Linked DNA regions of Coturnix japonica. The protein of the gene in region 2 interacts with the protein of the main gene of each other region in a biochemical or structural test. Links are inferred from orthologs where the notes say so. Each region holds a gene or a part of one and is shown on either strand. Other genes may lie near its edges. The genes, in order: RHEB, RAF1, RASD2 and PEBP1.

The links.
Region 1: the proteins of RAF1 (region 2) and RHEB form a complex in vitro, tested with the Homo sapiens proteins (3 studies listed by BioGRID and IntAct). The link is inferred for Coturnix japonica from reciprocal best matches to the Homo sapiens genes RAF1 and RHEB.
Region 3: the proteins of RAF1 (region 2) and RASD2 form a complex in vitro, tested with the Homo sapiens proteins (2 studies listed by BioGRID). The link is inferred for Coturnix japonica from reciprocal best matches to the Homo sapiens genes RAF1 and RASD2.
Region 4: the proteins of RAF1 (region 2) and PEBP1 form a complex in vitro, tested with the Homo sapiens proteins (3 studies listed by BioGRID and IntAct, with this or other methods). The link is inferred for Coturnix japonica from reciprocal best matches to the Homo sapiens genes RAF1 and PEBP1.

Annotation. Positions count from the first base shown.
Region 1 is NC_029517.1:5,597,709-5,605,660, forward strand, and holds the start of RHEB (GTP-binding protein Rheb), read right to left. Parts: upstream 4,868-7,952; 5' UTR 4,578-4,867; coding exon 4,526-4,577; intron 1-4,525. UniProt on the Homo sapiens protein: Small GTPase that acts as an allosteric activator of the canonical mTORC1 complex, an evolutionarily conserved central nutrient sensor that stimulates anabolic reactions and macromolecule biosynthesis to promote cellular biomass generation and growth.
Region 2 is NC_029527.1:3,328,513-3,335,953, forward strand, and holds part of RAF1 (RAF proto-oncogene serine/threonine-protein kinase), read right to left. Parts: intron 7,282-7,441; exon of another isoform or gene 7,184-7,281; coding exon 7,026-7,183; exon of another isoform or gene 6,633-7,025; intron 6,064-6,632; coding exon 5,965-6,063; intron 4,551-5,964; coding exon 4,397-4,550; intron 2,922-4,396; coding exon 2,862-2,921; intron 984-2,861; coding exon 956-983; intron 867-955; coding exon 739-866; intron 19-738; coding exon 1-18. UniProt on the Homo sapiens protein: Serine/threonine-protein kinase that acts as a regulatory link between the membrane-associated Ras GTPases and the MAPK/ERK cascade, and this critical regulatory link functions as a switch determining cell fate decisions including proliferation, differentiation, apoptosis, survival and oncogenic transformation.
Region 3 is NC_029516.1:47,548,199-47,556,334, forward strand, and holds the start of RASD2 (GTP-binding protein Rhes), read right to left. Parts: upstream 4,493-8,136; 5' UTR 3,811-4,492; intron 229-3,810; 5' UTR 220-228; coding exon 1-219. UniProt on the Homo sapiens protein: GTPase signaling protein that binds to and hydrolyzes GTP. Regulates signaling pathways involving G-proteins-coupled receptor and heterotrimeric proteins such as GNB1, GNB2 and GNB3.
Region 4 is NC_029530.1:8,782,650-8,790,864, reverse strand, and holds PEBP1 (phosphatidylethanolamine-binding protein 1), read left to right. Parts: upstream 1-3,551; 5' UTR 3,552-3,627; coding exon 3,628-3,762; intron 3,763-3,872; coding exon 3,873-3,982; intron 3,983-4,489; coding exon 4,490-4,590; intron 4,591-4,973; coding exon 4,974-5,191; 3' UTR 5,192-5,839; downstream 5,840-8,215. Other genes in the region: TAOK3 (serine/threonine-protein kinase TAO3), read right to left, coding at 8,164-8,215.

The DNA.
Region 1 (7,952 bases), on a different chromosome or scaffold from region 2:
CAGCAAAGCCTGTGAGTGTTGCCATTAGAAGAAAGCAGAGCAGGCAAACAAAGAGTTAAGACCAGAGCAATGTCCTCACATAACCCCGCTGCTGCCGTTCCTGCGCTCCCAGCCACTGCCATCAGATCACTGCAGAGCACAGCAGCACAGTCCCGCGCCCTGGAATGCAATGAGAGCTGCTCCAGCCAGCAATGCTGCTGCAGCTGTAAGGAGGGAAGCATTAGGAAGGGCTGCTGCCTACAGCTCAGCACAAACCGCCACCACAGGCTGCATCCCGACCTGCTCCATCTTCCTGCTCAGCCTCACAATTCCCTGCATCGCAGACAGTGCTGATCCTGCACACTGAACTGCGTCGTGCCACAGCGCCCATTTCTTCATCCCTTCCCACCAGACGGCCACAAGGGCTGTGTGCTGCCTCCCACATCACCCGGGGACAGAAGGACCCCTCACAGGGTGCTGTGCTACGAGGCCATCCTTCACAAGAGACAGCAAAGCTTCAGCCCCATTTCATAACACAAGCCCAGTATTCAAGTAACTCTCGCTCTCAAAGCCAGGAAATACTGCCAATAACTACAAGCCCATATTAGAGATACGGCAGGTGATTCAGTTCAGCTCCAGTTGTTTTGCTACTTGCCTACTGCAATCACAGACCACCGTTTCTGTCTGAGAAGTTCAGCATGGGCCGCTTTCCACCTACACAGCATAGGAAGCTGAAAGGTACACAGGTGAACCAACCTGACTCCAAACTGAGCAGGGAGCACTCCCAGCTCACCTGTCTGCATGTTCCTAAACACCAGCAGCTGCAAAAACACAAATGATGTTGAGATAACAGCCTGGTACTGAAACACCTGATCCAAGGGGCAACTCCCTGCTCACCTGACATCACAGAATGGTTGGGCTGGAGGGGACCTCAATGCCCATCCAGTCTGAATGCCCACCATGGGCAGAGCTGCCCCCACCAGAACAGGTTACTCAGAGCCCATTTAACCTGGTCCTGAGCCCTCCAAGATGGGCCAACCCCGCTCTGCTTTTCAGAGCGGACACTGATCTGAAGAACCAGCGACCACCCAGACACCCATACCTTAGTGTTGGCTGAATCATATGCACAGACCCCAAACGTACATGGAAATAATGAATTACGAGCAGGACACAATGAGGGCAACGTGATGATTCCTTTTAGTGAAGGCTTTGTTTTATAACTTTATGAAATCACACGCTCCATCACACACAGGGCAGCCTTCTGCTGGAATGCTCTGGTCACTTCACTGACAGCAGCACTCAAATCCCTCCCATTAGCAAGCTACCGAATTTTAAGCTAAAAATCCATCTGATTTCTATCAGAACCTTAAGGAGAACAAGCACGATTACATAACGCAACGTAACTTGCTTTTTAGATCCATTCAAGCACAAGCAACACTCAAAGATAACGTTCCTGTGTGGTTGCTGTTTAGCTTCATGCCACATACATGCAAACTATTGGCCTTCCCCACTAACAGGTCCTCAGGTTCCTGGCAATGCTCCTCCACATCTCCCTGCCCCAGGCCGTGGGCTGCTGGGATCACTCCCACAGCAGAACACGCTGCGTTCACACAGGAAAGGCTGATGGCAGTGTTGAAAGATAAGAGGGAGTGGATTGAAACAAGCAGGCTCCTGAACCTTCTATAGGAACAGCCATGAGAACAGCACTCCCAGGCATTGCTGGGTTAAGGGTATGGTTTCATACAAGGTAAAAGCAAGGGCTTAGCCAGCAATACACTCAGACTCGTGCCTCATAAAGCCTCGTGGGGCACGTGGCTGCCTGACACCGTGCGTGCTCAGAGCCTGAGAGAGCCACAAAGCTGTCGAATCATCAGCTGCAGGGAACAGCTCACGGCCCGAAACGTGTCAGCTCGGTTGTTTCAGCACAGAACTGAAAGAGAATGGAGAAAAGGTCGCCATTTTCTAATCTCATGCTGTATATGCAAATGATAAGATCACCCAACCCCACAGCCCAGGTCACCTCAGCATTCACTCAAGGCACAGAGCTGGAAACATTTCACGGTGTAACAGAGCAGCCTCCCAGACTGCAGGGTCAAAGCTAACGTTAAGGTTAATGGCAGTTCCCTATTTATAAAAGGAAGCTCAGAAGCCTTCAGCAGCCCTTCAGATCTTGGAATTAATTATCCCCCACCCCGACAAAAACTAGCTCTGTTCAAATGTAACATCCCTTATTTCATCTGGGATGGGATCCTGTCTTTTACCCAGGGTTCAAGTGGAATTCATGCCATCGTGATATCAGACTTACCTATAAGTCTATCTGAAGCCAAACCATGCTGTTAATTCTCCTGGACTTTGCAAGGCATCCTTGGGTTGACTTCATGTCATGCTCTATGTTTCTTGTTTATCTGACAGCCCTACATGACAGAACACCCAACAGCTCACGTCTATTGCTGGATCTTTTATGTAAATATTTGCCTAGAAACGTAAAGCTCCCATACTTAACTCTGTGGCTTAAACATGCAAGATTTATACCTAAGAACAAGCAAGGCAACAGAGTTGTCATGGTTAATGAAAGGCAAACTATTACTTCTCTTCTGTATGTCTACAACAAGCAGTTGTCCTAATGGAACAGACCATGTCCCACAGAGCCCCAAACCACATCAGTCTCATGAAGCTGCAGGTGAAGGAGCACAGTAGTAAACCCTAATGGGCAGGAGGCAACTTTCTGCTCACCTCCTTCTATACAAGCACCAAATCATCCTGGGTCACACCAGCAATGGCATTAATAATGGCTATGTGCAATGTGTGCTGTCAGGCTCAATGGATCATCTACCCCTGGACCATCCAATGTACTGAATTGACAGCGTTCCTCCTACCCACACACACTGCCCAGTGCTTGTTTGAGTCCGGACTCGGAGAAGAAAACATAAGGAGACAAGCTCCGAGGCTGACTGTGCCGTATTAGACACCCCATGTGAACCACCAACCTCCTGCAGGCTGCTCCCTTCCAGCACCATACAGACACAGCACTGTTTATCCAGCCTTGAAGCCAGGCTGCTGCTACACACACAGCATCTAAACAACTCATGTAACCTTTTTTAATCTTGGGAAAAGCAAAAGGCGTTGTTACGGATGCTGAGTGTGCGACCGCAGACACACCACTCACAGCACAAACCCTTCAGCAGCACAGCGGCACCTTCCTACAGCAGTTTATTTCCCAGCCACTCGTTATCCTTCCCATCGATCTACGCTTTTAAGTCAGATCGATGCCGAGCCGCACCGCTCCATTCGTGCCCCACGACGCTGAATCTGGTGGGGCTGTAGAGCAGCTCCCGGCTTGGATGGCGCCGGGAAGTTCTTTCCTTCAGTGTTGCCGTACGATCACAGAATCACAGAATGACCCGGGTTGGAAGGGACCTCAAGGATCATGTAGTTCCAACCCCCCTGCCTGGCAGGGCCACCAAACATACACCTTTACTAGATCAGGTTGCCCAGGGCCCCGTCCAACCTGGTCTTGAACACCTCCCAGGACGGGGCATCCACAACCTCCCTGGGCAGCCTGTTCCATGGCCTAACCACTCTCCTAGTGAAGAACTTCCCCCTAACATCCAACCTAAATCTTCCCTCTTTTAACTTAAAACCATTTCCCCGTGTCCTGCTATTGTCAGCCCTTTCCAAGAGTTTACTCCCCTCCTGGGTGTAAGTTCCCTTCAGGTATTGAAAGGCTGCAATGAGGTCACCCCGCAACCTTCTCTTCTCCAGGCTGAACAAACCCAACTCCCTCAGCCTGTCCTCATAGGGGAGGTGCTCCAGCCCCCTGATCATCTTCCTGTCCCTCCTCTGGACCCTTTCCAAAATCTCCCATGTCTTTTTTGTACTGAGGGCTCCACACCTGGACACAGTACAACAGATGGAGCCTCACAAGAGCCGAGTAGAGAGGGACGATCACCTCCCTATCCCTGCTGACCACCCCTCTCCTGATGGAGCCCAGGATCCCATTTGCTTTCCGGGCTGCCAGAGCGCACTGCTGGCTCATGTTGAGTCTCTCGTCCATCAGGACCCCCAGGTCCTTCTCTGCCGAGCTGCTCTCAAGGACAACTCCTCCCAGCCTGTACAGGTGCCTGGGGTTCTTCCTGCCCAACTGCAAAACAGTGTTGAACCTCATTAGGTTCAACATAACCCCCGAGCCCAGCTTTCCAGCCTGTCGAGGTCCCTCTGAATGTCACCCGTTCCCTCCACCGTATCGACCGCACCACTCAGTCACTCCCGATCCCGGCACCGCAGCGCTCCGTACGTTCATCCTACACGTCTACAGACAGAGGAAACGGGCACAAAGCTCCGTACACCCCGCTGTTCCCCCCCCCCGTCCCGGTGCCGTCCCCTGTCCAATTAAGGGCACAGTCTCACGTTGGCTCCCGGGCCCGCAGCGCTCTGCGGCGCCGCCATGGCGCCTCCCGGCCGCACTGCGCGGGGCCCGGCCCAGCCCTGCACCTGCCACCCACCCACCCACCCGTTCCCATTTCGTCTCCCCCCCCTTAACACTCACCTACGCTCCTGTAGCCCAGGATCGCGATCTTACGGGATTTGGACGGCGGCATCTTGTCCCCCGCCCGGCCACGAACCACATCAAGGGAGGAGGCGGACGAAGAAGAGGCGGAGGGCGGCGGGAGGCTGCGTGTGCGCCGTCAGCCTCATGCGGCGCTGGTTGTTGTTATGGGGGGGGGGGGGGGGGGGGGGGGGGGTTGGAGGGCGGCGGCGATCGATGGGCCGAGAGCGCGGAACCCGCGGCGGCAGCGCCCGTCCCCTCACGTAGCGGTGCGTCACGCGTCACAGGCCGCAGCGCAGCACGGACCGACCGACCGCCCCCACCGCCAACACCGCGCCGACTGCCGGCTGCACAAACCCGCTGCGTCATGCCGGCCCACCTCACGCCCCGCCGGGCGCTGATTGGGCAGTTGCTCGCGGTTAGAGGGCGGGGATTGGATGAGATCGGTTTTCAAAGAAAGGAGGCGGGGCTAAGGGGATGCGTGGGAGGGGATTGGTTGGATGGGGGTTAAAAGCCGCGCGTGCGCCGTGGTGCGCCTCCAGACGGCGGTTGGGTTGTGGGGTGTGAGGGGCTGAGCGGGGCGGGATCACCTCAGTGTGACTGTCCTCCACAGGAAGGAGTTAGTCCTAACCTCAACATGAACCTCTACTAGTGCCATGGGACCATCTTATAGGCTTCATGGAGATCACCCAGCTGCAATGCCCTGCCATGGTTCACAAATGGTACCTCAGCCCCCAGATCAGGCCGCCCAGAGACCCCATCCCACCTGCCCTATAACCCTGTGGGTTACGGGATCTCCTGCCCTACAACCCTGTGGGTTACGGGATCTCCTGCCCTATAACCCTGTGGATTACGGGATCTCCTGCCCTATAACCCTGTGAGTTACAGGATCTCCATGGCTAAGTAACCTGTATCATAGCACTTCTACTTGGGATAAGTCTTAGTGCTTTCCTGCCGTGCTGAGGTTGTGGCTTCCCAGCAGCAGCATTAGCAATAGGGCTTCCCCTTTGCCCCTCCCCAGTGCTAATCCAGCATCTTCATTCCTAGAGTGTTTTACCCTGTGAGCTACAAAGGAGTTCAGAGAACGCTGCAATGAGTGACTGACACCAGTACAACCAATCGTTGGTGAGTTATAATCGTTTTATTATAAACGACATCCCAACAGATGCGGTCAACGAATGCAATGGTCTGGGTTCCAAAACAAAGAGTGCCGGCACAAATAGAGCGTGTATATACACTGAGATCAGGAACAGATGTTGAGGCTGAGAAATGGGAAAGCATCGGCCTTTTGTTGCCTGTGTCTGCGATGAATTTCCTCTAGGAAACGTAACCCAGCAGTTCAATGTTTTTATGGCAATTCAGTGCATACGAACCCATGGACACAGCGCTACTCAAGTTCCAAATGCAAAACACATCTGGCTTGTACATTCAGTTCCTATAAAAGCAATTAGCACTTTAATTACCTGCTCGATCCTCTGGCCAACCAGCACCTACTGGAGGAGCTATTTGAACTGCACCCAATGTTAGCACTGGGTGTGCTCCCATATGTATGGCTGCCCACTGAGGTTAGAAAGTACACTCAGTTCCATCCCACACTTGTCCCTGGCCCCTCATGGATTCGACAAAGATCATCTTTCTCTAATGTCTGCTTAGAAATACTGACAAAAGCATCGTCTGCAGAACATTCTTGTTTTGCATAACGCACGTGATGTGGATCCAAGGGTACTATGAAGCTATTCAGAATGATATTTTCTCCTGTAGGTTACCCTTAGCAAACATTAAATGTGGGAGGTGTGAAGGTTCTGAAGCAAACTGGCTGCTCCTGAGAGCTGGGCACGGACAGCCCCTGTTGTTCAGCAGGATTAAGCACGCATGGTTTCACCTCTGCTTGGACCGAAACCGAATGACTCCAGCTTACCCTGAACTGAGATGAAAGATGGCAAAGCGTGTTCTCTAAGCAGTTTTGGAACTGCTTCAGTCAAAGTCTTCGCCTGCTGGGAGGACAAGAACTCGAGCCTTGGAAAGCAACGTTGGTTCTTTCTGCATTACCCAAACATTCCCAGCGGAGCATTACTCCGTAGGACTGGCGATGAATAGAGACTCAGACTCAACAGTTGCAATTCAGTTGCTAGTAAACAGCAAATACCGTCTGCAAGGCTTACAGACCTCAGATCTTTGAACTGAAAGGAATCCAGAAGTAAAACGACATGAAAGTGTTTTTATCAGCCAAACAATCTGTGTCAGCAAAGGACGATTTGCCAAAGTAATGAGCTCACGGCATCACCAGATAGTGCATAATACCGAGGGGCTGAGCTTCATTAAAAGAATAATGGCAAGCATAGTTCTATGAAGGCTTTTCCTTGTACTTAAACACATCCACAGCAGCAGGTCAATAGCAAACATCGTCACACCTGTGTTAAGAAAGGGAATTTGGGGCAACACTGCTGAGCTCTCAGTTCTATAGATACCATAGATACCACTACATATAGATGTAGTCTGTTCTTCCCTAGCGAGCTACATGAAAGGGAAGCGTCCTAGATGAAAGCTTGAGGTGCTGAGGAAACAGCTGTCCATGGTTCTTCTAGCTCTGTGTCCATAACACACACAGGGCACTTGTAATAATGTTAAAACAAGGGACTCTTTGCACGCTTGTTTGAAAACTGCAAATTCATTCTGGCTTCCTGCATGCTAATTTATGCAGACAGGCACAACGCTGTCTGGATGGAATAGGGCCAAAAGACTTTGCGCTAAATATAATGTGAGGGGAAAAAAAGCATCTATCAGTGGCTCAAACCTAACGTAGGTCTGAAAAATGCTGTTCCTGCGGAGTGAGATGGAGGGCTGCATTTAGGCAATTCCATCCCATACCTTCTAAGGAAGGCTGTAAATCTGGTGCTGGAAGAGCAAGCGGGCTTACAAGAAGTCACACCTGTGCAGCTTGGATGGCGTTTACAGGTAGTGCTGACCATGTGAAATTCCAACCTACCACCAATAATCCCTTTCCACACAGCTCACGGAGCACAATCTCTTGCAGGAAGCGAGATCTGAAGAAAGGGCTTCCACAAACACCAAACGGAAGTTGGAGGGTTTAATTTCTTCCATCTACCATTATAAAAGTCTCATCGTCAAACGTTACAGTACATTTACAGCAGCAAAACCCCAACGGCCTCCCTCACATCCAATACAGAGTTGCATTTGAGTCGTACAGACATCAGTTGACACATCAACACAGTGGGAAGCCTGGTTCTCTGGCACGTCCTTTCCCACACGGTGCCTGCATAGCACAGTACAGAGCAATGCTGGAATCCCCAGTTCACATGGTCTGACCGACAGCCCTATAGCTCCAATGTTGTAAATAAGGAGGAAATCTGCCACTGGTTTGTATAACAATCAACAGTTTATTAATGGATATGGTGAAATTGTAGCT
Region 2 (7,441 bases):
TCTTTGTCCACGAGGCCTCTGCAACAAAAATTGACATAGCTTGACATTAGTACTTAATCAAATGCATTACATGCATATACGCTGACATATATGCCAAGAAGGAGATATCTTTTTTCCACAGAAAAATGAGATGCATCAAAACCCTGAGGGTTCTGTTCTGCAGTCTGAGCTTTTGTTTTTCACCTGAATCCTGAGGGGAGGAAGGGGCACCTCACAACACCGGGAGGTGTAAGAAAAACTCGATTTCATTATTTCCCAAACTTTAAGTAGTTATAAAGACATCATTAAATTCTGCTCTAAGATATAGACTCTGATCTGAGATCATAACGAGTAATTAGGGATTCTTTATTTATTTGCAGGTACCTTAAATATTTTAAAAAATTAAAAAGAAAAAATCTCAATAATGAAATTCCAGCACTCCAACATATTTGAAAACAATCAACAAAAAATACGAGAGCAGAATTTTCCAACATCCACAGTTTATAACTGGGAGCCTCACTGAGCAACTGCGCTTATAAAAAGTCAAATAACTTCCATGTACTTAAAGCATAAGGCAGTAGTGCTCCCATTCCCAAGTTAGATTTCTATCACTGTGACACACTCAGTGCAGAGCAGTCAAAGAAGATTTCCACCAGCTTGCATTGTCTTTGAAGTACAATATTTACCCCAACACTCCATTATTTTCATAGAATTTAACATACTGGATGTATTTACATACAGTAGTTCAAAAATACTTACAATTTTGTTTTTTTCTTGTGTATTGGTTCCGGGTGCTCGCTCTCTCTGGGCTGGGACTGGGGTTTTGGGCTGAGACCAGCCAGTCGGGCTCATATTGTTAGGACTCCCAGACAGAGCAGAGGGTGAAGCTTACGTGTGAAAGCAAAAGAAAACGAAGTTACAAACCATAAAACAAACACAAAATATGATTATAATACTTTATTTTTGGAAGCCATACCTGATTCACTATGGTTTCGAATTGCATCCTAGAACAGAGAAAATATCAACAGAGTTAATAAAGTATATGACAGTATGTAAATGAACAAATAGAAATAAATGTGTTGAAATAGTTCTTCACAGTTTAGACCAAGTGCTGTACACTACTGACCAAGTCCCTTTAAAAGATGGCAGCTTGGTTATTTTCTAGTTACAAGAATCCTATTTACTTAGGAAAAAAAGACAAAAGAAAACCAAAACAACCCATGCAACTGGCAAATACTTACAGCACATTAAAAATGTTCACAGCATATTGAAAGGTATTACTACCAAAAAAAAACCAACAGAGGGGGGAGAAGACATGGAACAAGAATAAACGTGAGAAATACTGTCTCTGTTCCCACCCCTCCATTGCTGTTCATGCTCGTATGATCTGAACACTCCTGTGATGGCCCTGTGTCTCCAGGGGACAATTACTTAAAAAGGTTCTGGATTGTAAATAGGAAAACTTTAAATCCCCTGAAATATTCCAGGTCAATAAGCATTTAGAAATAGCATGGTAGAGGTATTTCAACACATAATTGACTACACCTTCTGCTCTAACACAAAAACATCTCCATTTCAAAACAAGTGTTTTCCACAGAAGTTTGATGATGGTTGAAAAGCACGTTCTTACACAGCTCACTACTTGGTACAGTGCGACAACTCTCACCTCATGCCACAGGCACTTTACAACACAACTCTACAGCCATGCACAAGATAAACTAAGCTCTGACAAACATGACTATACAACTTTTCTCACCTGCTATGCATTATCCCAAAGTACAAACAGGAAACGTAAAATATCCAGGTACTGTATAAGTACAAAGCAAGAACATGCACTACAGAAATGTTAAATACTGTAGAAGTTAATAGAAGTCAATTCAAACTTTCTAACTAATTAGTAGAATAATAAATGTAAGACTTCATAGGAGGACAGAACAAGCCTATATTCCACTGTATGGCTTTCAAATTAGCCCAGAATTTCCTTACTAATGATTCATTTATGGAACACATCATTGTTGCCAGTTAGCCGTGTTCTCCCAGGCTTGAATTCTAAATAGCACATTCTTGTAGAGCTCCTCTACTCTATGCCTGAGTGAATTAAAATCTACATAAACTACCAGAGAACTCCTACAAATTACTACCTTTGTCCGGTCTGAGGACTGAAAGTCTTTTTCAGAATCTACATTAATAACAAGTGGTGGTTTTTCTGCTCTGGCCTGAGAATGTAATTTCTTTCAAGCAAGCTGGTAAAGAACCACTAAATAATCATCAATTGCTCTCATAGTTAATTCTTAAGGAATTGTTACCTGAGGGGGGGGGCGGGGGGGGAAGTATCTTTGCTGACCTTCAGTTCTGGCTTGAATAATATTTTCCTTTTTCTTATTGATCCTATGGCAAATACACCCCAAAAAGTGTTTTGGTTTTTTTTGGTTTTTTTTTTTTTTCAACACAAATGACACTACACAGCAGTGCTGCAGTCTGCCACCTTTGCTCTGATATGAAGTACATCAGATTCTTCATCTACACTTCTGCACAGTTAAATTTAACAAAATAGTTTCCAGTGGGAACCTGTCACACAAGAGATGTATCTGAGAATGTTTTATACCTCAAAAGCTGTGTGACCAAGCAGATCTCTAATCCAAGCCTGTTCAAGTGCATAACAATTATCACAGCAGTACGGCTCTATCCATCTCAACTAAAAATGAACCCTATCAATTTGCCTCTTCCAGGTGTTGTCCTCGATATTTATGTACACACATGCTATAAAGATTTTCATTAAATCAGCTCCAGATTAAACACTTCATGTGGACACTGCCATGGCTTACAAGTTACAGCAATTCTGTTAATCACAAGAAAACAAAATGCACCAAGAAAATACCTACTCTTCCCCTCAAACAAAATCGTCTGCACCAGGAACTGGGAGAAGCATTCAGGCTGTTATTCTATGCCAACAGGGTAAGAGATAACAGAAAGAGGAAGTATAAAAAAAATTAAGAATGAATTGTTAGGATAAAGGAAAGAAAAAGTAACCGAAGTTGTCTGGCACATCATAATTAAGTGCAGGGAATATATAAATAACTATTCCTGTTCAAGAAAAACATTACACGAGTATTCAGGCTGATTAATCACCTTACTGAGGTGACTTTTCTCATATCATCCCTTAATGTACTTGCTATCTGTGTTGCTGGTTGCTTTTTTTAAAGCCTACTGGAAAAGCAGCTACTGCCTCTAAGCCAGGGCAGCTATTTTATTCAGTGCACTATGATAGGCAGAATAGAAAGCATTTCCTTCTCTACTGCTATGCATTAAGAATAAGGAAAGAAATATCTCAAACACTTATCACACTACCAAGTTTATTAATTCATATTCTCTTTCTGTAAGGCTTCATTTTGGTTTTCTGCCATAGAAGACAGTAGTTCAAACCTCTGTGGTAGGGGGGCAGGAGCAGACAATCTTAGCCTGTAAGGAGGTACCTCTCCCCATAAAATCCAGCTACCACAATGCTTCTAATCAAATAACGGTCACAGGGTTGCAGTGCACTTCATTTCACCTCACTGAAGATGCAGAGCAATTCTCTGGCACATTTAGGAGAGCCTTTACATTTCATAGAAGCCTACAGGCTACCAGCTGAAGGAATAAGCCAGTAAACTCAGAAGTCAAAGGATTTTGTTTGGCCAAGGACTTCTTAAACTTATTTCAGGAGGGGCAGAGGGCAGTACACATTGCTCTCTGAAATCCTGCTGCTCATCACTTACTTTCTGCAAGCCTTTCCTGCAAATCACTCCCTTACACAAACAAACAGGATTCTCTAGCCCTTACTTCCAAAAACTCTCACTGTTTCCAGTGTAAGGACCCAAGCTAAGGGAAACAAACAAACAATAAAGGGATTACTGCAATCAAGTAACAGCAGAAGTATTTTCAGATAGAGGTGGCTTTCCCATGAGCCACCAGTTCTATAAGGGTATAGTGCTACTGTGCTACAGTCAGCTTTCACTTGAACATTCAGGCTCTGAGAACTGCAACCAGACTTACAACTCCTGCCTCATTTTAAACAGCCATCAGCCCCCCGCCCCAATCCTAAAATGTAAATTTCAAAGAACATTTTGCAATATCTCAAGTAACACATGTTCCGAAAAGCTGAGCTTGTTCCCTTTTCAGATCTGTGGAACTTACTTATTAAGCCTCCCTCATGACTTCAAAGACACTGAAATCTACCTAGAACTTTAGTGAAGTTGATAAAGATTGCAAGAATGAACTACTAACTTTCCAGGCAGATGTGCCACCTATATATCCTTATCACAGCCTGTTAAGGAAAAGAGTACATGAAATACAGAAAAAGAAAAAACACCAACCAGTGACTATTAGATAGTCACAAATTCAGTGTAACTGAATGATAATCCATCCTCACCAATATTACCTCAATTATCCGGCTGTCGACTGGCATTGTAGTGCTAACCATGTGGACATTTGGTGTGGAAGTAGATCGCTGTCTTTGGGAAAGGGTGCCCTCAGAGGAAGGATTTGATGTGTTGAACGTAAAGACATGAGGTGTAGAATATCTGTGCTGGGAGCTAAGAAGAAAGAAAGAGAGAAACTTGTGGTTATTTTTTTCCCCTCCTCTAGCAGTCAAGAAAATACTCTTCAGTGTAATCTACCAAAAGCAGGAATATACATGAAACTTCACACATGGGGAACGTTGGGATTTACATGCTAACTAAACTATCTGGTCAGCCAAACCACTCACACTTTAACTTAGGAAATAAACTGAAAAACTTGGCATACTGATCTAACACATTTAAGCCTACTTCTGCCATTATGCAATGTGCCACAGTTCGCCTCAGTCCCCATTAAATCACATTTAATATATTGATAAATTACTGGCTCTGTTGGATTAATTAATTCAGGCAGTTAAATTTAAACCTCTCATTTCAAGCTTATTAAGTGAACAGCCTGAAAGGTACTTTTTTATTGCTTAGCCCTGAGTTTTTGAAGCTTGCAAGACTGTTCAAATTCTCACACAGAACAGCCAGCAAGGAAGTCATGAATCCCAACAGCTGTCAGGAGGCCAACAGTGAAATCCAGCTCAGGGAAGAATTACAAATTACAGCTAACGTTAATCAAACCTCACTTATCCCAAATAACACAAATAGCTCAACCAAAACCAGACAGCCTTCACAAAAACAACCAGCTACCTAATCAGGAAGTCACTGCGCAGTAACACTAGAAACAGACTAACATGGCAAAGAGAACGTAAGATTAATTATTGATGTAGTTCCCAGTCAAACAAATAAATAAATAAATAGAACCATTTGCAATCAGCTACGTGCTCTGTGCCTCATTCCTGAACAGGTCAACGTTTTTCAAAGGGATGTGGAAAAAACAAAACCTGGCCTGCCCTCTGCAGCCTCTAGGATTTCAAGGAAAAGAATACAGGCACAAATTATCATCAGAGACAGGCTGCTTTGGAAAGAAACCGATTTATATTCTAGCAGTAAAACTACAGGGATGTTCTTACTAATCAGGTCTCAGAACTTTCTGTAACGTGAGCCTATTTTCCATTTCTGCTGCTCTCTTTAATCTCTTCCCTACAGCCATAACGCAGGACGTTATTTTAGTTAATGCATGTGACTCACACACAAGAAATAAGCTATAAAGCCTTACATGTATGCTACGTGATCAGATGAAATAAAATTCACACAATACCAAATCTTCTTAGGCAGGTAAACAAAGGTCTCCACAAAACGTTTAATACCCTCACTTAAAATCTTAAGACTAAACTTTAAAAACATAAATTCCACAGTTGATGCTTTGTTTGATGCTGTAAGAATTGACACTAGGTATTTTCTGTGATGAAGTGCTGTTGCCTTCTTGCACGTTTATGTCCTTCTATATTCTTCTATTTTCAAGGAGTTGGGAGCGTGGCTTTTTTTGTTTTTTAAACAAGTGTATTTCCCAAAAGAGAAATGACAGGAAATACTAGCTTACCTAACAGGTATCCGGGAGACAGACTCCCGCATCCGTCTCATTGTCAAGGGAGGTAGTGCAGGGACACCACTGTCACTGATATTTGAATTTGGGAACAATCTGAAATATCAACAAAAACAATTACAATTTCAACTGCTACACTACCTCCTGTACAATGCTCTTAAAACTGAGGATCTGAAGGGCTGTTGCTCGGCACAAACACATCCCCAGTTCCTGTATTTCCACAACGTTTTTTCTCTGTATGGTACAACTAAAAGCTGCATCATCAGATCCTCACAGAGAATTTTCATGTGTTCTTACTAAACTTAAGACTTCAGAAACAACTCTGCAAAACTTCAGACTTTCTCAACAGGATCTATGAGACTAACATTTAACTTCTATTAAACTCTGGTAGCATCAAGTGATGCAATCATCCTAAATTCTGGTTGCTCATCTCATCACCTACGTGACCAAGTTCAGTTATTAAAAAAAAATAATACAGTCACTAATAACGATACAAACACATTCACAGGTTTCATCTGTTTTGCATGCAAGAACTTCTAACAGCAATTTTCAACTTTCTCTAATCAGTATTTTTTAAGTATTACCCTTCATCAGTTTTCTCAACTTTCTATTCATTTTCAGTGGCCTATCAAGAGCACTGATACAAACATTCATCTTTCCAACAGGTAAAAATCGATTAAGTCATCAATTCTTTTTCTTCTAACTGAAGTATTGTAATAAAGAGGAATTAGGATGCCTTCCCATGCTGAATCAGAAGGGCATTACAGCACCTGCCTGATCATTCAGTACATTTGTTGGTTTGTCTGAGAATACTGAAATCCACAGCAATAACAAAATGCATTTGATCGGCCTTCTTCGCCTGGGAACAGACAGTCATTGCTGGCTGTTTCATGAAATCAATACACGTGTTCTGTAAACTGATGAACAGCACTACACCTCCCAAAGATCCACATACATCTCTATGGTAAGATTTTAAGAACAAAGGAAAACAACCAGAGCCCAAGATGGTTGTCTGTCACGGGGAACAATTGTTGCTATTAGAAAGGAATGGTCCTTACAAGAGTTGCCTGATATTGCTCCAGTCGACGCACATGGTTGGAACTTTAGTGCTGCAGTGCTCATGGAATTTATAACCGCACGTCTGACACCGAAACCCATTTAGGAGGAACTTCTGGCAGATGTCACAGAAAGCAAGCTTTAGAAACGTCTTCCGAGCCTAGAAAATGCATTTAATGATTAATCCAAGATTCTCTTACTTAGCCAGGATGAACATCTTCAGAGCTTGACATAAATAAAAACAATGGTAAAATATTATCAGTGCCCTCAAAATGTTACTGAACGTAAAGTTACACAAGGAAACTTGTGTGTATTTCTTGTTCGGCTGGAAACCTGGAAAAGCTCACTAATAATTGGGGCACAGCTTACCCAAAGAAAATACAGCGTAAAATTATCTGCTCCATCAGACTGAAAAGCA
Region 3 (8,136 bases), on a different chromosome or scaffold from region 2:
GTCCAGGATGTCCAGCTGATACATATCTCCCCGGATGTTGTAGACCTTGCGGTGAAAATCCTCAATGGTGGGAGTGTATTGGTCCTCAAACCGGCCATTGAGAAAGCGTGAGACTATGGAGCTTTTCCCCACCCTGGAGGCTCCCAGCACCACCATGCGGTACGAGTTCTTGGCTGGCACATTCAGGGTGCAGTTTCCACTGGACATGGTCTTCATCATTGCTTGGACCTGAATGAGGGAATGGCAAAGTTGAAGGAAAGGTAAGAAACTGTGTGGAGGACAGAGCAGGGACATTCCATACCATTAGTTGGTCAAAGAGTACTCTGATGTTTACACTGAATATAGCATGGTTCTTAATTGTAATTTGCTATTTTGTTTAAGCATTAAGGGCTAATTTTATCAGCTGCGTTTGAACTTGGACACCAGGTTCCTTCCCATCATTTGCGTCACTTAGACATTACCAGATTTTTCAGTTCTGGTTCTGTTTTAGATGCATAAACACAGAGGTCAGATTTCCTAATATATTGCACCCACTGAGGTTACCATCAAATTTCCTAATGTACTGTATCCACTGCAGCTGTCGTCAGGACCTAGACCACTTCATTTGGTTGCCTAAATAGGAACTGCTCACAGCATTCATTTTCTGAGATCAACCAAAAGTCAGACAGAAGCCCGAATCACGTTTGACATCTGTGGAAGCTAGACATCTCAGTTATTTTAAATAGCTGGTCCTGTATAGCCTACATTGCTGACACGAGGAATTCAAGACACAAAATAGCATTGAGTAGTGATAAATTCTGCGCCTTCTGTGACCTTTCAGAAACCAGAATTTCATCTAGCTGCTTGGACTGACAGTGTGGGAACTCCCTACCAAGAAACTATCAGTGCTGCAATTATCACTGCCTTGCAGTAGGACGACTGTCAATGGATAGAGTTGCAGTAATGAAGATTTCTTAGGAGTTTCAATCTTTATACGTACACAGATGTTGTGAGTGTCACAATCATTGAGCATTTAAGTACAAGAAGAGAAAGAACAAAGGACAGCCATCTTAAATTACTATCTGACAAGATTTCCAACCCCTGACAAGAAAAAATGTGTCTCAAGACCTTGGAGATCATATTTAGATGCAGTACTCAGATACGGGAAACTTTGATGGGGAAATAAAAAGGAGGGTCGCACAGACGTTTTTACGTGTGCTATTTCAAATACATAGTGTACTGAAAGGAAAAATACAACCCCAGTGTGGGGAGAGCTAATGTTAAAGCTAAGAAAGCACATTTTGGGCAGAGTTTATTTTGGTTACTAGGATCTTATTAAAGAATAATCAAGTTCCCACTGTGCCGTTTATTTAACTTAGGTGTTGTTTACTTAATATTACAATTTGAGCACTTTATGTACACTGAAATATCATCTCTGGGTTCAGATCTGGATTCCTGCCTTTCCCTCGAGTGTATTTTATCTCCCAAGCGTTTATGCAGCTGACACTTATCTCAGTCAAGAGCTTAAAATCTTTGACTTTGTTTAACATGTGCAAAGCACCAAAGCAGAAGTGAAGATACGGCCACTGCTAAATAAAGGAGTCTCTGGAATTCTAATCCAGAATCATTACAAGTGCTATAGCCTGAGGCAACAGCAAAACATGACTATTTATGATTATTGCTATCATTTGCTAGCAGCGCGTTTATCCCTATATAAAGCATGGAAGAAAATGCAGCACTTTCCTTGAAGTATCTTATGGTCTAAATTACACACAGAGGTCAGGGCTGCACAATATTAGAGGCAGACAGTAATGTCCGATTATAACTTTGGATGTAAACACACACACTCACAGATATGGTGCTGCTGAAATGACAGCAAGGAGCACGCCTGTTTTGGATCGAACTGCTTTGTTTAGAATAGGACCCATCTCCAGCATCGCAGAAACACCAAATTTAATCTGAAACAACGCTTCCACGTGCAGTGGCTCTATCCTACATGGCCAGTCCAATGCTGTCATGAATCCACAGGCCAGATGAATGTCAACAGAACAGCTCTGGGATACTTCCTTTCGACCTCTCAGGCTATATTTAGCTGACAGAGAAAAGCAGGGAGATAGATTTTATGAGAAAAAAACACCAACTTCTCTACAGCCTGTGCTCAGTGCTTAGAAATCAGTCAGCTCCTCAGACTGGGAGAGACTGGTATAGCTGCACTCCTGTCTGACTCCTACTATGTGTACTGCTTTCTAACAGGTAAGCACTGAGCTCTGTGCTGCTCGGAGGGCTGGTTTTGCACCCTGAGGGCAAGAGGTGCTTCTGTCTTCCTCCTTGACATGGACTTCACTGCCTTGGACCTCAGCTAATTTGTGGTCATGGTGGTGATGAGTTGACTGTAGGACCAGAGGTCTTTTCCAGCCTCAGAGGTTCTTTGATTCTAATGCCACAGTACCCCAAACACCTTGGAGGAGGAACTGCCACTGTGGCACCTTTGGCCACTAAATCATGCTGCCTTCTACCTCCATCAAAGACAAAATCCTATCTGCAGGTGCGTGCACTTCAGGACGCTCTGCACCAGAGATGCACATGCACTGAGGAGGAAGGGCTGTAAGCACATGCAGATTTTAATGTATTAAATAGTCACTCAATGCTGTCCTCATTCTGCCTGTCCAGGCATTCAGTTAAGAGGGCTCCTGTGCTTTCCTGACTGCTTTTTGTTTCACATGGAGTCTAACAGAGCTTTTCAGCTCTTTGATTCCTGGAGTTTCTATTCATCTCATCACCTCTGCTGCAAATCTGACTCAGAGCATACCGTTGAGCCGGGAGCTTATGTTTGTTTTTGTGCTCTCTCCTTATCCCACCACTTCAGCTTCTCTCCAATTCAGCGCAATCTTTCTTCTTTCCTCCTCACAAAAGGAAAGAAACTTCAGCCCTTGCTCCCAGCACAGGGACTCGTACATTGAAAAAGATTAAAGACAGAGGAAAGGAAATAGAAAGGAGCCACATGCTCATGTACTAAATAAAGCAAAATCAATCAGAAGAGAATGAGGAGGCAAACAACCTCCAGCTGGCTTTAATCTACATCTTTTCCTTCCAGTTTATTAAATGCTTAAGCATAGATTAATTCCCAGTGGTACCTTTTTCTTTATGCACTGTCTCCATGGCAGAAACTTTGCGTTAGTATTTTATATTGGTGAAGGGATTTCAGAATGCCACAGAAATACAGGCAGTGAGTATTATCTCCAGTTAATAAAGGGAAAGATTTGCATGCCAATAGAGAAATGAAACAGCTGTCCAAAATCAGCATCAAGCCTTGTTTCATTGAACTGCCCGCATCTTCTACCTGCTGACCCCCCGCTGCCTGTTCTGAAGATGCACATAAGAACAAATGACAAGGCACCTGATTTTCCTCGCTCCGAAAAGCACTTGTCTAAATTCCAGTGAGGTGCTGCCAGGTTTAGTTCTGAGCACCTGGAGAGAGCTACCTAAGGAAGACATTCCTCATTGAACCTGCCAGCAGCTTTTCCACCCAAGCATCCCGGCTCCCATCAGTGACATCTGCTTATCCTCCCCACTGCTTCCCATTCAAGAACACACTCCCAGAGCACATTTCTTGCACTCCACTGTCTTTAGCTACAGTTTGATGCTTCAATTTGCCATCCAAATGTACTTCACTGCATCCAGCTGAAAACAACATAGGCAGATGCAAACTGCATAACAGACCTGCCACCTGTTAGTCACCACTAGTACCCCTCAGTTCCCATGCACACTCAGATCACTCCATTGGGATGTTTGTCTCCCACTGCTATCCCAAACTCCGTGCTGCTCTCTTACCTTTCTCTCCTTGGAGGAGCAGCCCCGGGTTTGGGTGTAGTCTGATGAAGTTGGTAATTTTAATCAGAAGCAGCTATGCTGTAGAAGGCTGTTGTTCTGAGGATCCCACGTTGCTTGCTCAGGGCTCAGCTCTTCACCGGTATTTCCTGGGAACTTAGCAGGACTGGGAGGGACTGCAGGGCTCCAGAGGACGTCCCCCCATGGAAGGCAATGACTATATCAGGGCTAAAGAAGGGTCTCCAGACCAGCAGCAGCTTTTTCCTTTCGTGAGACGAGCTCTTCTGCTCCCAGCCTCAGGTGAGGAGGAGAGGCAGAGTCTCTCCTCTGGGCAACTCTGCTGGAGCAACACCTAGTCCTGCAGGGCTGGGGGTTCATTCACCCTATGCCACCTCAGACCCTATGGGAAAAAATCACTGAGGGCATGGAAGTTATCTACCGTGACTCTACGCTTCCTCAGGTCTTGCCTTGCACACACACCCCTCCCCACAAGCTTCTTTTCTTCTGACCTGGGATTTGAATTGTTCTATTCTCTTTCGAGGACAGAAGGGGCTTTTCTTTACATTTGCCAATTAAGTTTTTCTCCTTCCACCCCCCTGCCTTTCTCTCCCTGGCTCTCACAACTACTGGCAAATTGCAGATTTCCCTTCTGTAGGACTCACAGATAATTGGCTCAACTCCTCCCTTGAAGTCAGTGTCAGACACAGGGGAAGGAGGGGTGCTGAGGGGGTGGGATTTTGAGCCTGTTGAAAAATCTTTTATATATATATATTTTCCTCCTGAACAGAAAGTCCATATGCATTCCAGGCTGTGCATTCCTTTTCTTCCCACCAGAGACCTGTATGCATTCATGTGTAGGGAGAGGGTTAGTGGATGTGTATGAGAGACAGAGACTTCACTTTGCCAGCCACCAATTCAGAAGCTGTTTCTAAAGGCTGCTTCTATACTTCAGCGCTGATATTTTCTGCAAGGCAGAAGTGGACTGACTCATTTCCCGAGAAGGGGCTTTCTGTCCAGAATTCCTGTAACTCTTTTGCCATATGGAATACGGTCTCCCGTTCCCTCACCCTCAGCATCATTCTCTTGGGACTGCTGGTTGGTCTGATTAAGAAATAAGGGTAATGTGTGACTGCTGTTAATTCATTAATATTTAAATGAGCTAAACAAGCACCGTAGGGAGGCAGACAAATCAGAAAATAAAGGAAAATTAGATTGAATTCAGGCAGTTTGCTCTGCCCTTGTTAAAGAAGTGTGTTTGCAATTCATTTCATCGTTTGCTAACTCTGCTTTTCTCCTTATTGAGCTGAAGTAATAGCTTAGACTGTAACGTCTATTAGAAAAGATGAAAAAAAATATATCATTTAAAAAGAGTTAAAATGAAGTCTTTCAGCATTGCCAACTGACAACTTTGAATCGGATAAAAGGAAGAAAAGCACTGAAATCTTCAAGATATTTTGACAAAAAATAAAAACACACGCAAAAAAAACAAACCCAGAAGGGAGGTATCTCAAATCCAAATATACTCGTAGTTTCAAGTCTCTCAATATTTTCTCTCACTTTCTCTTTGAGCAAATTTACTCTTCTTTAAGGAAAATAATCCTCCAACTTCATCATGTTTCCCCTCAAGAATACCCACAAGAATGTGTGCCGTTTTGGTGGAATCCCTTAGGTTCTTTTCTTTTGGGGAGCAGTAGCTCCTGGCTTCTGCCTTGTACAGACAGCTTCACATTTGGGAAGGAAGAGCACAACTTGGCACAGCACCACCAAAATACTGCTGGCTTCTTCCAGGGGCCAGTGAACTGCTAGTGGGTCATGATCTGAACTCAGCTCTTTTCAGACCACAACACCACAACTCTTTTTATCAACACGAGTCTTTTCTCTTTGGTACAAAGTTGATAAGCGTTTTTACAGCTCACATAGAAATAAGATATGATGCTTTTCATTCCTAAGTCATTGGTTCAGATCAAACCTTCACTGAAAGGTATCATCTTTGGTGACTGGACTGCAATCTGTGTCTCAGATACAAACTAAGTAAACAGCATGCTGGTGTCATTGCCACAGGAAGAATTGCTGATGACAAAATTAGCATAGAATTCAAGTCCTATACTGCTACAGAGAATATACTCCTCTTTCATGTCTACAGCTTGCAAGAACTGGAGTTCTTTGCCAGAAAAAAAGAAAGAAAGAAAGAAAAAAAAAGGCGTAGTCATTGTAGAGACCATCTCATCAGCCTGGAATCTCAGCCTACTCAAGATCTTTGTAAACCAAGTGCAAAACTCCTGCCTAGCTGCCTTCACCAAGCCCAGACTCCCACTCAGTTGTCTTCTCCAGCATTTAAGCTGGCCATTCCGTTTCCTCTAAGCACATCAAAATAGGAAGGGAACATTCTCAGCTAGGCATCTTGGCATTATTTGGTCTCTCAGCAGATAGCTAGTAATGTTACTTTTAAAGAAAGCCTCCAAAAGATAATTGCTGACTATGAGTCTTCAGAGGCTCACTGATATTGCTGTGGCTTTGTTGTTGAGTTTTTTTTGCCTTTTTTGTTTTTGTTTTTCTTTTTTTTTTTTTTCTTTTTTTTCCCCCTGAGTGTGCTCAACAGTTTACAAAAGGCCAAGGCTTCCCTTAGGGCTCAATCTGTTTTTCTCATGGCTTCCTGGGGTACCTTGTGGAGAAGTAAGGTTAATTCTCAGTACTTGCTCACTGGGAAGCAGGGATGGCAGCACCTCTCTGCTTTCTGGGATGAAAAGGGAATAAGCAAAGCAGTGTTGCAGAAGAAGAAGAGGAAAAGTTCCCCATCTCAGCAGTTTTCTCTGGTTAATCGGAGACCATCAAACTTTCTTAGAGCTTGTAGCTATTTACTAATGTAGACGTCAGACACACAATGAAATATGCTCTGGAGGCACTTATTCCTCCTGCTCATCCCATGTATGAAGAAATCCAAGCTGAGTTTCTCATGTGACTAATGCAGGCTCAGAGCATTGCAGGCTGTGGCTGCAGGAACCACCATGACTACCAGAGGCTATGCCTGCTTGCTTGGTGCACTTGCCAGCATCAGCATTTGGGCAGTGCACACTCGTGCAGCAGAAGGGCCACTATCTGGAGCCATTTGTCCCTTCTGCAGCTCCCAATGCTAGCTGCAGCTGGAGATGAAGACTGATACAATGGGCTGATGCAGCAGGACCAATGCATTTCTCTCCACCTTAAGGAAAACGACAGAAGTGACAATCACATGCTGTTAAGTTCTGGTCAGAATTAGTTCAAGACAAAAGATGTTCCACGGCTTTTGTCTCCTCTTCAAAAGCATATGCAACAGAGATTAAATATTTAAACCAGCTATTCTCTTTCTCTTCCCATTCATTTTCACTCCCCTCATTATTCAGTAAAGCAGGCTTGTTTTTCCACCCCCTCACCTTCCCTCCCTCCCTCCTACATTCACTTCTCCTTCGTGGTGCCCCTCCATTCAAGCAATGCTGGAAAGTTAGCGTTCAGGAGCCACTCAGCTGCAGGTAGTTATTATGCTCTGAACAGCACATAGATGAGCAAACACAGTGCTGCCCCCTGAATTACCGGTACTCCCTGGGCATTTAAGCTCCTCCAGGGGGTGTTATGGGGTGCAGGCAAATAGGTGATGATCATCATCTATGAGTGAGAGCAGCTCATTTTGGGAGAATACAGATGGAGAAGGCACACATTTGAGAAAATGGTGATCTGGCTTGTCTTCTTATTCTCTTCAAAGGGCAACTATCCACATTTCTTTATGAATCTGTAATTTCTCAGTGTCCCAGGGTGTGAGATGGGTTAATCATGTTTACTGAGATCCCTGCAAAATGGAAAAACATTACTTTGCAGTGAAGAGCATCCAGATCACCTCTGATTTGCTGCATTTGCTATGAATCATTTTTAAATTATATTTTCATGAAATATTATGGAGAAAGGACTGCATTTCTGAGCTCTCTCTTTTCTTTTTACCACTGAGGAGACAGCACATCTGGATTTACTCACCAGATATGCACGCATCCTTTCATTTTCATCCCAATGTTGAAACTTTTTAAAACTTTCACTGTGCTCACTGACCACGTCCCTCAGTGCCACATCCACACGGCTCTGGAACACCTCCAGGGATGTTGACTGCACCACCTCCCTGGGCAGCCTGTGCCACTGCAGCACCGCGCTCTTCCTGAGAAGAGTTTTTTCCTAATACCCAACCTGAACCACCCCTGGTGCAAGTCTCATCACTGTTACCTGGAAGTGAAGGTTGACCCTGACCTCCTTTGAGGTCACTGTAGAGATCTGTAAGATCTTACCTGAGCCTTCTCTTCTCCTGACTGA
Region 4 (8,215 bases), on a different chromosome or scaffold from region 2:
TGTCACCTCTGCACAGCCAAATCCTGCCAGTCTGCCTCATTTGCATCCCTCCCCTGCTGCAAGAACCAGCAAACCTGGCTCTGGAGGGCAGAGAACGATCAGGGTACCTGTCTGCCCCATCATTAATCATTAATATGGTGAGGAAACCAACTTACTTATCTCCACAGAGCATGCGGGCTCCTCTTGCTCGACAACGTGGCTCCCGACACACTTGAACACTTTGCGGTGGGAGAGGTGAGAGCTGTTCAGTGTTTCCACGTGGGTGTCTGAGGAGCTCGTAGAGCTGATGAGCCAGCTGGAGTTCTCCAGATCGTGCCCCTCTTCTCTCCAGTGCAGGGTGGGGTGGGGATGCCCCCCGGGCCAGCTGCAAAACAGCTGCAGCATCAGCCCTGAGGAGGAGGTCTCAGCCCAGCACTTCGGGGTGGACCGTGGTGGATCTATCAGCAAGAAGGGCACAGAGTTAGAAACAGATCTGAGTCACCTGGTGTCCCGGGCTGGAACCTCAGCAAAAGCTTGGTTTTGCAATCATTCTCCTTGAAGGTCTCCATGGTTTCCCTGCCTGTGTTTCTCCCTGACCTGTGCACCACTGCCTCAGGGGAGCATAACTGAACGACAGCCAACAGGGACAAAGCAGGAGGCTGCTCTGCAGAAAGTATCACAGCAACCACTAGAATACAGGGGAAGGACAAATTTCTGCCACAGCTTTATCTGATGCAGAACAGCTGTCACTGCAGTGTGGGGTCACACTGCCTCACTCAGCCCCTTGCTGTGCTACGTTCACATCACAGCCCAGCGGTGGGGACAAACTCCATGAAAAGGAAGGTGGGTAAAGCACTGCTGGGTTCAGGCCAGGGCCAATCACCAGGTAACCAGGACTGCGTTTGTTATTTAAATACAGAAACAACTAACGGCAGGATGGGGCAAAAACCCATAGAAACACAAGAGCAGTCCCCTCGGGCAGAGCAGAGCTCACATTTCATGCAGCTCCAGTTCATGGCTCTCCCCCATCATCTGGTTTCTGGGGCTGCCCAAGAGTACGACTTTGGTGGAGAAGCTGTAGCATATACACACCCATACACAGATACACACACGTGTTCTTTTAACAGCCAGAGGGATTCTGGACTCTGATCCAGGCAGAAGTAACACATAGTGTCCCTGCACTAATTGCCTGCTACAGTGCTCAACAAGACCTTACTGAGAGATGCTGCTACAGAAAGCCCCAACGAAGAGGTGTCAGAGGGACGAGTTATGCTTATTTTGTAAAGCATTTTTCAAGTCACGGGAGAAATCACATAATTTGGATTAAAGGGCAAAAAAAAAACACGGCAAAAACCCATGTGAGCTGCAATAATACCTTCTCGAGGCTTGGCTTCCCAGGAACAATATACATGCACCTTTTATGATCTCTGAAAACAGCCAACTGTGGCTCTCTATGGCACAAATTGCTCCTATGGCCAACAGAGAGCGTGAAAGAAAATGAGTATTTACTTCTAATGTTATGCTGATAAGCTCCAACTTCTAGCCTGTGCTGATGTTGCTTCTACTGACCTTAAGCATCACTAGAAACCTCTCTTCAACCTGCTTAAAGAGACCCCAGTAGTACATACCACCTTTGTGACCTTTAACTGACAAGTCACACATTAACAAACCCATTTCAGAGAGTGGTACCAATGCTTGGCATGTCCACAGAAGATCACAAAGAAGAGCCTTAGCATAAAGAAGCCTTCAGACATCAATTAGAGAATGTTCAGATAGGAGACTGGGAAATGCTGGTGATGGCTTTTGCTCACGAGCATTTTGCTTTGCTGCTCTAGATTTAAGGCTCCTCTTTCTAAGCTCCAAGCCCACAGATTCTCTATAGTAGCCTAAGGTTTGATTCCTTCAGTCCAGCCCCCATGAGCCTCCAACCCCATCTGCAGGTTTCTCGCCCCAGGAAGGGAATTTTCACCTGTGTGAACGTTCAGAGATTTAATCTGTACAGAACAGGTACAACTTTTACAACACATACCCGTCAACAAGCTCCGACAAAGAAGCAACACCCTGAATGCAAACAGAACACAGGCATCACTCTGCAAATGTTGACAGAAAGATCAGCAAGAAAAAGAAAGACCTGGTAAAGCACAGATTGGCAACGAAGCAGAACTGGCAGCAGCCTTTCGCTCTTCCAAAACCCTATGGTTGGCACGGAGGACAGCAGGTCATAGCCCAGGTCTGAAGGCCTATGAAGACTTCTAAGAGAATGGATAAGGAATGGAAATGGGACTCATGCAACCCAAGGGCAGAAATTCAGTCATGGGACAGACTTACTGGCTACCAGGAGCTGAACTCTGTGCTCGTGGTCTGTCTTGTTCAGCACTTCCTTACACGTGTAGTTGCCCTCATCCTGCAGCCGCAGCTCCGAGATGCGCAGGGAGCTGTTGTCCACCAGCGAGAAGCGAATGTCTGGGGGGAAGGCGACCCTCGAGGAGAAGAGTGGGGGAAAAGAGTGCGGGTCCCCTTGGAACCACAGCACCTCAGTGGCCTCCTTGGAGACATTGCGGCACAAGAGGAGGATGCTGCCTCCCACCTTCCCAAAGACTACTTCTGCTGTTCCTGCAAAACAGAAGGGAGAGCGTTAGGGATGCGGGAATACATGGAGCCCTTTTCCTCAAGCTCGTCAAGTCCTCTGTCCAAGTGGAACCCAGTGCAGAGAGGGCCTTTTTGAGTCCAGCCCTGCTGGAGGTGGATGGGGATTAAGAAGGGAAAGGTGATTTAGGAAGCAAACCGCTCGTATTCCTGCCGTGCCTCCCGCTGCCATAGCGCTGCACTGAGGTACCTCATGCCGCCCCTCAGCCCGTACCTGCAGCGCTGCGGAGCGGCACCTGCGCCCACCCCCAGAGCGCGAGCAGCAGCCCGGCCCGCACCGACCCGCCGCCGAACCGCATCGCCGTCCGCCTCCACCGGCGCCTCCCGCTGGGGCCGGACCCGCCCGGGGGCGGTGACGACCCGCCCTCCTCCCTCACCTCCCGCTCGGGTTCCCGGTCGCCGCCCCGCTGAGGGGACACCCCGGGGGCCGCCCGCCGCCATCTTGGCCGCCCCCCGCCGCCATTTTGAGCGCCCCCGGCCGCTGCCGCCATGTTGGGCGCCCCTCCGCTGCTTTACGACCATCTTAAACCACCTCCGGCATCGCACAACGAGGAAAGCGGGCCGGGCCGGCTCGGGGGGAGGAATCGGCTTTATGTGGAGCCGAGCAGTTGCTGCCTGTGCCAGAAATAAGGCAGTTCTCTGCAGGGCCAAGGCCGAGAGCTGCTCGGGGCGATCGGCGCAGCGCCCGCTGGCAGCCACAGCCCACGTTTACAGCTCGTCTTGGGACACTGTGTATCGTCGGGGATTAACAGCCGTGTGCCAGCTGTGTGCTATAAACTTTATTATCCCTAAGCACCGGCCAATGCCCTCAAGGCCGCCCGCCCCGGGGCAGCGCAACGCACCGCCACCACTTGGGGGCGCCATAACGATGGGAGCCAATGGGAGCGGAGCGCGGCGTCGCCGTAGCCAATAGGAGCGGGGCGGGGAAGGCGGGACGAAGGGCTGAGGTGATCGCGCGGCGCGGCCGTCACGCAGCGGGACGCGGTGTGAGGAGGAGCCGCCATGCCGGTGGATGTGGGGCTGTGGGACGGGCCGCTCAGCCTGAGCGAGGTGGAGCAGAAACCTGCGCAGCCGCTGCGCGTTAAGTATGGCCCCGTGGAGATAGACGAGCTGGGCAAGGTGCTCACCCCCACACAGGTGAGGTGGGGGGTGAGGGGGCCGCTCAAGATGGCGGGGGGCGGCAGCGGAGCCTTCGGGGCTGTGGTGAGGGTGGAGCGGGCCGTGAGGTGACGCTGTGGGCCCTGCAGGTGCAGCGCCGACCCACCAGCATCGAGTGGGATGGATGCGACCCGCAGAAGCTGTACACCCTGGTGCTCACCGACCCCGATGCGCCCAGTAGGAAGGATCCGAAGTTCAGGTAACGGCGTTTGGTAATTTCCTGTCTTACCTGCGGGGAACCGGTCGTTGCTTTTGGACCGAGCGGCTCGGCAGGAGGTGGGAAACGTGCTCTGCCCTCGGATCTCTTGTATAGACCTGGGCAGCGGCTGCTTATACAGTTTCTGCCAGGGCGTTGAAGGGCTCCTGTAGGTGGTAGTGGCACAGATTTGCAGCTCGTGGTATGTGCAGGAGTTGGAATTAGGTCTGTCAGCGCAGTGTGGGAGCAGCTCGCCCTCAGCTTGGGCTCAGGAGCACACGCAGTGCTCACTTACCAGGCTTGGAGGTGGGTGCTGGTGCTACAAGGCAGGATGGAGCTGCCCGATAGGCTCCGAGTCCTGCAGCAGGCACTGAGCTCCCAGTCCTCGTTGGGTTTAATGAATTAGAAATGGCAGTGGTTAGCTTTGGTTATCCTGCACTGACAGCAGCAGAAGGTCGTGCCTGGGGGTTGTAGTGCAGCTTTATTGTTAGTTTTTTAACCTTCTTTCAGGGAATGGCATCACTTCCTGGTGACCAACATGAAAGGTAACAATGTGGGGAGCGGGACCGTGCTGTCAGACTACGTGGGCTCGGGCCCCCCTAAAGGAACAGGTGGGTGCCTGCATGCATCAGTCCCAGTGCCTCGGGCCTGTGGTGGTGTGGGTGGGTGAATGTGGGCTGGGAGGGAGGACACAGTGCTGCAGAAATGGTTCACGGGCCTGCCTGCACCTACATGCAAGCCTGGTCAGGACTTAGCAGCACCACCCCTTCTGTATTTGCTGAGGGGCTGCACCTGCATTCAATAGCCAGGAGGAGTGCAGGTGTGGCACGAGCCATTCTGGTGCCTCAAGATGTCTCCTTTAAGCTCGTTTAGCTCAGTCAGACTTATCCTGTATTGGCTGCCAGCAGCCCTTGGGTGGGCACAGGTTTCTTTCCTGAGCTGGGGTCACTGCAGCCCCAGAAGGTGCACTTGTAATGCTGTCTCATCCCTGCAGGGCTGCACCGCTACGTGTGGCTGGTGTACGAGCAGCCGAAGCAGCTGACCTGCGATGAGCCCATCCTGTCCAATCGCTCTGGCGACAAGCGAGGGAAGTTCAAGGTAGCTGCTTTCCGCAGCAAGTATGGGCTGGGGGTGCCGGTGGCTGGCACTTGCTACCAGGCAGAGTGGGATGACTACGTGCCGAAACTCTATGAGCAGCTGTCTGGGAAGTAGGGAGAAGGGGCCTGACCAAGCACTGTGCTGCACCCTCCATTCCCCTAAGCATTTCTCTGTAGTTTTGTTTGCCTGGTGAGCTGAGAACCCAGCTGCTCCTGCACCGACAACTTGAGCTGTAACCTGAACCGTATCCCCAACTATCTCTGTGAAGTGAATCTGCTTTGGTGTCAGAGCGGTCTGGCTGTGCGTTGTGCTTCAGCTGACTGCTGGAGGTACAAGCCACAGCTGGCTCAATCAGCTTCTGAAAAGCTGGTGCTGCAAGAGCTGCCCCCAGGGCTGCCCTGCCCAAGGGAAGTCCTAAGCCTTTGTGACTCAGTACCACTTCAGTGTGTCTCTACTGTGTTAAAATGGTGTTGAGCAGCAGTGTGGGTACAGAACCACTTCTGGCTGCGGAGCCTTCTCTTTCCAGGAGGGGAGAAGGCAGCAGTCTGTAAAGGGAAACTGCATTTTTTCCTCTCCTGCAAGTATTCGGCCAGTGCCTCCGCTAAAGTGAACCACTAATTAGTAGAAAGAGGCATTGATGCTGGTTTATAGCACTACTTTCTGATCTCTGTTGCCATTCAAAGCTGAGAGGCTTTGCTTTGCTCGACTTGTGTTGTGATCTGGTGTTTGCTCACAGTGCAATTAAACACTTTGCAAGGTGGATGGACGGTGTGGTTGTCTTCTTGGAGGGGAGTAAGGAGGGGAACACTTACGGGAGCAGCGTGATGTAGCAGGGCTCCACTCCTGGTGTTACAGACTTGAAGGTGCATCCCAACCCTGCTGCAGGGTTGCACTTGTGTTGCTGCGAGGCCTGGTGTTGTTTCCTAAGCATTTCAGGCAGGAAACAAAGCAGGACTCAAGGCTTGATTTTAACAAAAAACGAAGCCAACGTGACTGCTTCACAGGACCAGAAGCCTTCCTCCTGTCAGTTGTTTCACCATCTCCAAGGAGCTGTTTTTTAAGGGGTGTGAAAAACATACATGAGTTACAAACCTCAACACCTTGCAGAAATCCAGGTTTCTTCACACTTGGCCCCCAGGGCAGCCTTCCCAACTCATCACTGAAGCTCCATACCTGGAAGGCAGTGGGACCTCCACCATGGTGCCAGCTGGTGGCACAAGCAGAACAGGGACAGTGCTAACACTGCTGGGACAGCTCCGAGGCTCCTGGAAAGGAAGTGTCTCAGGAACACCCCAACTAAACACAGCAGGATAGACAACAAGACAGCAGAGGGTGCAGACCCTGAGAACTTGGACTGAAGAAGGGCATAAGATAAAGAGGTGAGCATCAATCTGAGTCCGCCCCCCTCCCACAGCCACGAGCCACTCCTCCCCCAATGAGACAGCGAGGCACTGTGATGAACACTTTTATTTACAAATATAATTAAAAGCTCTGACAGTTACTCATGCTCTTCCTTTGAACCTGAAAAACATCTTCTTGGTGGTGGTGGTGATGGTGGGAGGGGGGGGAGGTTGTTTTTTTTGCTGTTTTCTTGTCTTCGTTGCTTTTTTTTGTCATTTTTCTTTTTCTTTTTTTTAAAGTGCATGCAAAAGAAGTAAAGCCTTTTTTTTATATATAATTTTCTTTTTTTTCATTTTTTATCTTTTTTTTTTCTTTTTTTTTCTCTTTTTATTGTAAGAAAATACACAGTTTGAAAGTGTGAGGAATGCGGAATTAATGACTGAACTCATGGGAGGCCGGAGGGGGAAGTTAGGAGGGGGGGGGGGTAAGGAACAGAAAGGTTAGAAAATAAAATGGAACCACCCCCCCCATCAACCCCAAAAAGAAAAGAGAGAGAAAAGCAAGGAGTGGGGATGGTGTGACAGTGCTGAACTGCAGGGACTGAAAGCGAAGGGGTTGGAAAGGAGGAGGGACGGAAAGGAGTAAAAAAATTTTCTGATCAGAGAAAACAGTTAAAATACAATATGAAAATAAGTCAAAGCTCTCCTTAAATTCCTTCTATACACAAAATACACGATTTGACAAAGCCCAATTTTGTGCTACCAGGATCGCGTGGGCTCTTTGTTTTAAGTGTAGTCAACATCCTCTGCGACAGCAGAAAATGGTTCTGATACAATCAAGAGTTGGCCGAGGGACGGGGGGGCTGCCCCGCCTGGCACGGCGCTCCTACAAAGCACCGGGTCTCTGCCCACCCCCCACCCCCACCCAAGCAATAACATCCCACCACTGCTATGTACAGCACGACTCACGGTTGGTTGGGGTTTGGGGGGGGAAGGATGAGGGGGGGTTGTTTGTTTTTTTGTCTTCCTGTAAAACGTATCAAATAAATTTTTTTTTTGTTTTTTTTTTTTTCCTGTTTTTTTTTTTTGTTTTTTTTCAATCTTTAATAAAACTTTTTATTATTATTATTTATTTATTATTAATTATTATTAATTTCATTATTCCTGATGAATAAATACCCCCAAAAAAATAAGAATAAAATAAAAGTTATGCAGCAGCTGGTTCAAGGTAAGGCTGCGGATTTCGTCTCTCTCCCCCTGGGTTTGTATCTATCACTTCTCTTTTTTTGCTTGTACCTTTCAGAGGTCGGTGGATAAAACCCACGTCATTGATTGCTCCAAAAGCAACAAACATCCACATGGGGGCGGATCGGTCTTGTTTTCTCTTTGCTTTCTCTCCATTCAAATCGTCTCCAAAAGTTTGTTTTTTGTTTTGTTTTTTTTATCAACTGAAACATTTCTTTTTGTTTTTAATCATTGCACAGAGACATCGAGACTGTGACGTACTATGGGAAAGACTGCCAGGAGCCGCCCGCCACCGGGACGTGACACAGGGGGAAAGGGGACCCCTGATGGAGTAAGAATATACAGGCACTGGTCCGACACGATGTCAGTAAGAGAGACAGAAAGAGAGAGAGAGCACGCCCGTTAACATGGGGAATGTTGGTTTTTGCGAGTTTTGTAACTATTCTGTTTGCTTTTTTTTTTTTTGTCTGCTTTTGTTTTTAATGGCAAAGAAATTTCGTCTCATCTATAGTCCTCCTTGGGATAATCTAATGTGACCAAATTCCCAAAGCCC